2 linked regions of the Coturnix japonica genome follow. The protein of the gene in region 1 binds, or shares a complex with, the protein of each later gene. Links are inferred from orthologs where the notes say so. Each region holds a gene or a part of one and is shown in the gene's direction. Other genes may lie near its edges. The genes, in order: DLAT and PDK3.

Region 1 (4,385 bases):
TGCCAGAGCCACCAAACATAAATACACTTATAGGATAAGTCCTATCAGTGGCACCATTTCCTTGCTATGCCTACTGCTGGGGCTTCTGAAAGACTGGACGATTGAGAGCCCTCAGATCCCTAAGGCTTTTGTGGGGATTGTTTGTTTTGGCTTTTGTTTGTTCTGTTTTTCCCCTGCTTTGCTCTGTCCTCCTGCTACCTGTCAGCTCCACTTGCGCAGCGCTGGCTCCGGTCTGCAGCAGGCACTGTTGACTTTAAAGTTCAAATGGCAAGTCAAGGCTCTGCTCATTCTTGGTCTGTGTGGCCCTTTCACGGCCTGCCCGCATGTCTGTACCGTGCATGAGGCTGGGAGAGGGTGAACCTGGTTTTACTGTTTTATATTAACACATCCCTCTGTAAATATGTTACTGTTTGGAATTATTTTGTACCAGTTTACATTGTCTGATGACCGTGGATATTTTTATACCAGTGCAAGTGCTTTCTGTATATTTCTGCACGCATTATATGGTGTTTTTCTCTCTGGTGGATCCTGAGATGTTTTGTATTGTCTTCTGTTCACACAACACTGGGTTTGACTTTATTTTACTTTGGAAATTCAACTAGTTCCCACTGGATTTTATGTTTTGCCCGCTTGTACAAGCAAGAAAGAGCTGAAGGGTTTTACAGGGCCCTGTGCCAGCCTGGCAAAGGGCAGCACAGCTGCTGCTCTGCATGATTTGTTGTGGTGACTTTTTCTTTACGGACAGAGGCTGGTATCAGTAGAAAAGCTCATCAGTGTGTAAATGCATCAATAGCTGCAGGCAGGGGAACACATCTCGCTTGGAAAAGAAGGATTTTCATCCCCCCTGGAAATAGTTTTCTGATGCTTGTGTTTCAGTGGGTTGTTAAATACAGCATGGGGTTGTTCTATTGGAATCAGTTGTAATTCAATTGCAGTTTGTTTCTCAAGCGTTTCATCGAGTTTTGCTCATTGGTTCTATTTCAGCCAAGGGTCACACACCCAGGACAGGATTTTATGGAGACAGTTCTCAAGGTCTGTAGCTGCCACTTCATGTTGTTTGATGGCGGAGCTGTTATCAGAGCTTCTAAGGGATACCTTGCCCTTTTGGTACCCAGTTTGCAATGGGAAAGGAGCTGTTGTATCTACATGAAATGGTGCTGCCACCGCAGTCACTTCAGCGGGTTTGTTTTGTAAACGTGCTCTTCATGCTGCACGCGGGACCTCCGCTCCGTTGGCTGGAATCCGTATTTATTTCTGCCCGTCTGCCAACTTACTGCCCGCTCCCATACTTTTAAGCTGACGCTGTACCCCGTTATACGTTACATTATATTTTCGTATTAACTCGACCTGGTGCTCATCATTTTCTGTGCGAGCTGCCTTAAGGAGCGCGGCGGGACGCGGCGCATGCCCACACGGCGTCACTCCGCGCCTCCCCCCCCCCCCCCTCCGTCCGCGCTTTACTGCAGCGCAGCAGTGTCGTGCGGGCCGTGCGGCGCCGCGCCCGGACGGAGGAGGTCACCGAGCGGCGGAGCGGTGCTGCGGTGCGGTGCGGTGCGGTGCGGTGCGGCGGCTCCGGTGCAGCATGTGGCGGGTGTTGGCGCAGCGCGTAGCCCCGGGGGCCGCGGGGTTGGCGCGGGGCTGCCGGGCGCTCAGCTCCGCCGGGGCCGGTCGCGCGGCGGCGGTGGGCGCCGTGTCTCGGGGCCGCGGTCCGGCACTGAGGCCCAACGAGCTGCTGCCGCCTCTCGCCTGGCCCCGCTTCGTGCCGTGCCGCCGCTGCAGCCTGCCGGCGCACCAGAAGGTGAGAGCTCTGCCGCCCGCTCCGAGCCCCGCTCGGCATTGCGGGCCCTCCACCCCTCCTGCCCGCGCTCCCCGAGCCCCGCTACCGCCCGCCGTTCCTCCGGCGCCCTTAGGCCCGTTCTGTACAGCTCCCCCGCTTAGCGCCATCCCACCTTCCTGCCCCGCCGGGAGGTGGCAGTCGGGCTGTTCCTGCCGTCCCGCCCTGCCCCGAGCTCCGGCTCCGGGGGCTGCTCGTGCCGTGACGCTGCTCCTCCCCCTGCAGGTGGCATTGCCGGCGCTGTCCCCCACGATGCAGATGGGCACCATCGCGCGCTGGGAGAAGAAGGAGGGCGACAAGATCAGCGAAGGGGATCTCATCGCGGAGGTATCAGAGGGTGCGGGGTGTGCCGGGCTTACACTGGGCTGCGGGTGTGCTCTGGGTTCTGTCACTGCCCGCCCTCTCTTGAGCACGTTTTGTGAAGATCTTGCTGGAGATGGATTACCTGCAGCCTGCCAGGACTGGCTGCTGGGTTTGTTCCTTCTGTGCAGGAGGAGCACCCACCCCTTCCGAGAGGAATCCTCTCCCGAGCTGTTGGTTTGTGCCAGGGCTCTGTGCTCTCAGACCCCACGTTATGGCACTGGAGGGCTCTGAGCTCACGGCTGTTCCCTTTCCATAACAATGTCCTGTTCTTTCTTTGAAAGGTGGAGACGGACAAAGCAACAGTTGGCTTTGAGAGTTTGGAGGAATGCTACCTGGCCAAAATCCTGGTACCGGAGGGAACAAGAGATGTTCCTATTGGGGCCATAATATGTATCACAGTAGAGAAGTATGTATTTTCCAAACCCTTTAGTTGAATTTTCTCTGTTGGGGCTTTGTGTGTGCCCTGTGCTAAAGGCCATGACAGTGTCATTGGTCTGATTGTTTGGGTTTTTTTAGGCCTGAACATGTCGATGCCTTTAAAAATTACACTCTGGATTCTGCAGCATCTGCTCCCCCTGCAGCCTCAGTGCCTCCTCCTCCAGCTGCAGCACCCTCACCCCCACCTCCGCCTTCTCCTCAGGCTCCTGGCAGCTCTTATCCTCCTCACATGCAGGTAACAGAGCATTATTAACCATCTGAGGTTTGTTGCATGCTTTTTCTTTTTTTTTGGCCTCATTTGATTTAGGACGTTTTGTCATAAATACTGTCAGGAACAGGAGAGCATTAGCTACAACCACAGGAGCACATGGCTCTCAAAGTGGTGTGTGCTTAAAGCAGCTGTTCGTGGTGGTCCCAGAAAGTTTTCTTATTACAATGATTTTTGTTATCCCAGCTGCTGGTAGGAGATAACTTGTTTCTCGTGGCTACTTGAGCAGATGAGAAAAAAACTGCTGCATTCCTTTGGTTTGGACAGCTCTGATATAAAAAGACTTTGTACTTAGTGTGAGTGGCCTGAGGGCCCTGCTCAGATCTCAGCAGAACCCAGAAGTCTGTGATACTCTGAACATACCAGATGTGTTTGTGAGCAACTGAAAATGAGCTCTATTTGTGGATAATCTGTTTGCTTAGATACTGAAGTGTGCATCCATCGTTGTTCTGTCTGAGCACTTTATAGCAGGGTAGTTCTGTGATGTTAATTTGAAACCCGAGATCCAAAATATCTCCTTTCACAGTTAAAGACGTGCAGAAACTGATTTGTCTGAGATGCTATGGAAAGTCAATACATGAACTGGGTATTAATTCAGTGCTTCTTGATCTGACTTGAATTCAGCTACTTGGTTAATTGCATTATCTGCCCAGTTCTGTTCTAAAGCTGTTATGTGTGCTGTGTTTGTTTTACACAGTATGTGTCTAAACCTACAGCACATTTAAGCGCTTAGTGGAAGACAAGTCTGTATAGCTGTTACAGGAACGAGGCATGTTTGTCAGAGTCAAAAGTAACTTGCTGTAGCCTTCCTTTGAGCCTTACAGACAGCAGCTGCAAGACTGTCCCCAGGGATGATGGTACTAATTATCTAGATTTCTTCATTTTTGCATTTGCTTGTTTTCTTGCCTTGACAAAAGAAGCCAAACTTGAGATACAGCACGAAACTGTGCTTTGCTGTAATGGAAGCAGATCTAAGAGTGTGTTAAACGTTTTCTGCTCCTTTACGTTGGCATCATTTAGTCAAGAGTTCTCGACTATGTCACTGTTCCTTTTGAGTCTCCAAAATCTGATGCATTCGTACTCTGGCTTACAGGTTGCTCTCCCAGCTCTGTCACCCACCATGACAATGGGCACAGTGCAGAGATGGGAAAAGAAGGTCGGGGAGAAACTGAACGAGGGAGACTTACTAGCAGAAATTGAGACAGACAAAGCCACAATAGGTGAGTCAACTCCAAAGGCAAGAACAGATGAGGGAGGATCTAGAGGAGCCTCTGTGCTGGCTGTTCCCCAGCTGCTCAGGACATGAAGATGTGGGGCAGTTAAAAAGTGTTTTGTTGCTCTCATGCTGCTGGAGAGAGAACCACTGGAGCTCCCAGAAATAACTGTTTGCCCATCAGTCCCTGGTAGGAATGTACAGTGCACAAGAGATATTTCCTACCTTTTACACTGAAAAAATAAAAAAAAAGAATTGTCTACCAGATA
Region 2 (4,308 bases), on another chromosome or scaffold:
ATATAACAATATATATATATATAACAATATATAATTCCTTCTCCATCCCCGTGGCTTTGCTGAAATTGTGTACTGAGGATACTCACATATGTAGAGATTAAGCAGCAGAGGCTCTTCCACGCTCACTGCTCTAGGTGAAAATGCTAAAACAAACAAACAAACAAAAAACCCCGCAAATTAGTGAAATGGTTAAAGAAAGCTTTAAAGTTTGGGTTGTTGTTGTTTCCAAGACTAAAGATACCTTTGAAAATATTAGCTTGACAATTACTTTGGGCTGATCATAGTTCACAGTAAGATCCTACTCCTCTTTATTTTCGCAGATATTGACTTCAATGACCATTCAGGAAACAAAGCTCCAAGTAAGATGACTGCGAGGCTTTATTTTGACCAACACATTCTGAATGTTTTAATAAATAGCTATGGGGGAATATAAACTCCTAACTCCTCACCTTAAAGACGAAGCTCTGGCTTCTCCTTTCTGCTTGAAGCACATCTGCATCATTTCCATTACTTCTTTCATTTTCTTAATGTGAAAGACAGTCATGCAAATTGTTAGGGTATCAGTTCTGTACCAGTTTTCCTCCAGTTACTCCACTTCATTCCACACAGCTATTAAATCACAGAATCACACACAATCACAGAATTGTAGGGGTTGGAAGGGACCTCTAGAGATCATCGAGTCCAACCCCCCTGCCACAGCAGGCTCCCTACACCATGTCAAAATCAAACTCTATTTACAAGTCATTACGTTATATCATTATTTTCTAAATTATATTATAGATTTCTGATCACCCTATTATGTACCACAGTGGGATATCTCAAAGTGAGCAGGAATGCTGGAGATTCTAGGAGACAATGACAAGCCAGTTCCCAAATAAAATCTCTTTTCTTCCCTTCTAGTTGTGAATGGTATATAACCACCAGGAGAGTGGTTAGGCCCTGGAACAGGCTGCCCAGGGAGGTTGTGGATGCCCCGTCCTTGGAGGTGTTCAAGACCAGGTTGGACGGGGCTCTGGGCAACCTGATCTAGTAAAGGTGTATGTTTGGTGGCCCTGCCAGGCAAGGGGGTTGGCACTACATGATCCTTGAGGTCAACTTCCAACCCGGATCATTCTGTGATTCTATCACGTAATATCATTTAGTCCAACTCTGAGCCCGTCTCATGGGCTTCTGAGTCGGAATGGAGCCACAGCTCCCAGCTCCACACAGACTCCCTCACAACAGGCCACGCACCTCGACCGTTGGGGCTCGAAGCTTTACGCACGCGCGGCGCTGCGGGGCGGGGCTGGCGCCTGCGCGCCTGCGCAGTAGGGCGGGGCGGAGGGGGCGGAGGGCTCCCTCCGCTCGCCCCTCCCGCCGGGCCGCTCCTGGCCGGGCAGGGTAAGGGCAGGGTGAGGCCGCGCAGCGACACGGGCTGAGCCGGGCCGGCCGATCCTTGGCATGAGCGCGGGTGGCTGCGCCGCCGTCGCCGCCTCAGCGCGTTAAGTGTTGCGCCATGCGGCTGTGCGGGGTGCTGCTCAAGAGCCCCATCCCTAAGCAGATCGAGTACTACTCGCGGTTCTCCCCATCGCCGCTCTCCATCAAGCAGTTCCTCGACTTCGGTGAGTGGCTCGGCGGGCCCGGGGCGGGCCGGGCGAGGGGGACGGGAGAGGCCTGGCCCCCGCGTCCTCGCCAGGCGGCTGTGGAGGCCTCGGGGTGCTCCGTCACGGCACGGAGCGGGGGGAGAGAGGGAAGACGGTCGGGAGAGCGCTTATGATGCGGGGCGCCGAGCTTGGCTATGGAAATTGAGATCCCTCTGCGTGGAGACTGGTTTAACACAGAGCTGGAGCACGAGCTTTGACAGCCGTGGTGCTCGTGGAAAGTTGATGCTTTAGGAAGCGCTGCTGATGGACAGATAGCGTTTTGCTGTTGAGTGGAGACCCGGGCGTGCCTTGTGTTGCTGGAGAGCTGGTTCTGATGTAGGTAACAATGCGATTCTATCTGGGTCAGAGGTTATTGGCTTCCTCTTCTGGCAGGAGCGCTGTTTACGTTTTATTATACTATAAATGCAGCTGCTGAAGTAAATAGAAAGGTCACGCGTAGCACCACGAGGCTTAATATAGTGCTCCTTCATTCCAGTGTGATATTAAAGACACAAGGAGACAGGAAAGAGGCATTAAGCCTGAAAGCAATTAAAAGTGGAAACAGTGGCATGTTTATTGCGGTGGTATTAGTGGAAAAAAGGCTGCGACTACAAAGATCCAGCAGCGGGGATGTTCTTGCTGCTGTGTCTCTGCACACAGGGTGTTCTGCCATTGAAACAAGGCCCAGCACCCCACCTTGTCACTGGTGACAAGTGACAGGATGAGGGGAAATGGCCTCAAGTTGCGCCAGGGCAAGTTTAGGTTGGATGTTAGGAAGAACTTCTTTACAGAAAGGGTAGTTAGGTACTGGAATAGGCTCCCCAGGGAGGTGGTTGAATCGCCATCCCTGGTTGTGTTTAAGAGCCGTTTGGATGTGGTGCTCAGGGATATGATTTAGTGTAGGGTTGTTAGAGTTAGCGTACTGGTTAGGCTGTGGTTGGACTTGATGATCTTCAAGGTCTTTTCCAACCTGGGTAATTCTATGATTCTCTGATTAGCCTGGGTTACATTAAAATGATAACCTGACTAGAACCTGTGTATTCCTCCTCACCAGTCTGACTTGTCATCCCCACGTGTGCCTTTGCTGCTGTGTTAGCCATGCCTCGCATTTGTGCTCTGGACACTGTGTCTTTCTGTGCTGTCACAAACAATGCTATGAAACTAAGATAGTGAGAGCCTGCCCAGTGCTGTTCTCTGCCTGTGGTCCCAGCTGTTATCACTGGATGTGCCTGTGGAGCCCTGTGTGTGCTTACACTGTGTATTTTAATGTAGTGATATATTACAACTGACAGGAAGCTATATGGTCTGTCATTTAAAATCTCTGAAGAAGAAGTAAAAATACGGCTGTGGTTCAGGCTCCTATAATCACTATGGGATGTTTTCATGAGTTCATAAGATTAGAAACCGATATTGCGTCTCACTAAAACTGTCGGCTTGATCTTAATAAGCCTTGCAGCCTGTTTACGGCTTCACTAACTTTCTCTTTGGCACACGTATTTACTGAGGTAACCTGAGTAGGAAGATAACAGCAATCTAATCCAATAGGTCAAAAACAGTGCAGTGACTTAACCTATCCAGCCCTGGGCGTAGGTGGCTTTGGATAATTTCAGGTTCCACCGGAGACCTTGGAGACTTTGAGGAGAAATTGCCATCAAATGCCCTGATGGCAGATGTTGGGGCAACAACTGTGACCTGCTGGGCATGGAAGGATTGGTCACTTGGTGCCCTAATCTATAGTGCTGCATCAGGAGATACAGCCCTGCTGTCTGAATTAGCTCAAAGTGTTCACTGAATTGCAAAAGTTGCTCAGGTAGCTTAATTCATTTAAAATTCTATGGAAGACAGTTTGAATTACAGCATAGGAAATTCTGCACGAGTGTGCACAAGAACTTCTTTACAGTGAGGGTGACGGAGCACTGGAACAGGCTGCCCAGGGAGGTGGTGGAGTCTCCTTCTCTGGAGATATTCAAGAACCCGCCTGGACGCCTACCTGTGTGACGTGGTGTAGGGAGCCTGCTTTGGCAGGGGGGTTGGACTCGATGATCTCTAGAGGTCCCTTCCAACCCCTACAATTCTGTGTGATTCTGTGAATACTTAAACTAGCTTATTAATACCAAAGCCCTGCAAAGCTAACCAGAAAGCAATACTTAAAGCAGTATCTCCACCCCCATATGTGATGCATTTTCTGTCAAGCTTGCAGCTATCTTCATAGCTGCCACGACTGTGTGAGGGGTTACAGTGTCATCATGGGCTCAGGATTTCTGTGTCACAATCGGAGAGCACAGAGGAGGAGGGCAGGAATACCAGTATTGGAGTTGTGTGTTTGATAGATCCTCCTAATTTAGACTTGCCACAGCTGTGCAAAGCATGCCTTAAAGGACTACAGGTGATCTGAAATAGCCAGCAGTCCTGTCAGCTTCTTATGTGGATAACTGGTCAGTCAAGTATGCCTGGGGAAGAAGGTAAGTAACCAGCTGGCTGTGTCTGTTGGGGAAGGTAGTGTTTCTATGTCTAGTTGTGTCCTAGCACTTAAAGAAAGGGCACACAGAAGGACGTGAGCTTACTCTGCCTGGCTGTTCAGGGCTGGCTTTAGGCCAAGAACGTTACAGACTAACTAGAACAGAGCTGTGCCCGAGCTCACACGTTCCACGCAGCTGCACAGTTAGAGTTGTGTTGTTGACGGTAA

What was found.
Region 2: the proteins of DLAT (region 1) and PDK3 are in contact, whole or in part, in a crystal structure (PDB 1Y8N), measured with the Homo sapiens proteins. The link is inferred for Coturnix japonica from reciprocal best matches to the Homo sapiens genes DLAT and PDK3. Residues at the interface, in NP_001922.2 of Homo sapiens: Ala225, Leu226, Ser227, Pro228, Thr229, Glu248, Gly249, Lys259, Ala260, Ile262, Glu265; in NP_005382.1 of Homo sapiens: Arg21, Phe22, Ser23, Pro24, Ser25, Pro26, Leu27, Phe48, Lys51, Val55, Asn373, Lys374, Ser375, Arg378.

Annotation. Positions count from the first base shown.
Region 1 is NC_029539.1:5,401,618-5,406,002, reverse strand, and holds the start of DLAT (dihydrolipoyllysine-residue acetyltransferase component of pyruvate dehydrogenase complex, mitochondrial), read left to right. Parts: upstream 1-1,510; 5' UTR 1,511-1,582; coding exon 1,583-1,798; intron 1,799-2,059; coding exon 2,060-2,161; intron 2,162-2,478; coding exon 2,479-2,603; intron 2,604-2,713; coding exon 2,714-2,870; intron 2,871-3,996; coding exon 3,997-4,123; intron 4,124-4,385.
Region 2 is NC_029516.1:107,567,668-107,571,975, forward strand, and holds the start of PDK3 (pyruvate dehydrogenase kinase, isozyme 3), read left to right. Parts: upstream 1-1,296; 5' UTR 1,297-1,495; coding exon 1,496-1,601; intron 1,602-4,308. UniProt on the Homo sapiens protein: Inhibits pyruvate dehydrogenase activity by phosphorylation of the E1 subunit PDHA1, and thereby regulates glucose metabolism and aerobic respiration. Can also phosphorylate PDHA2.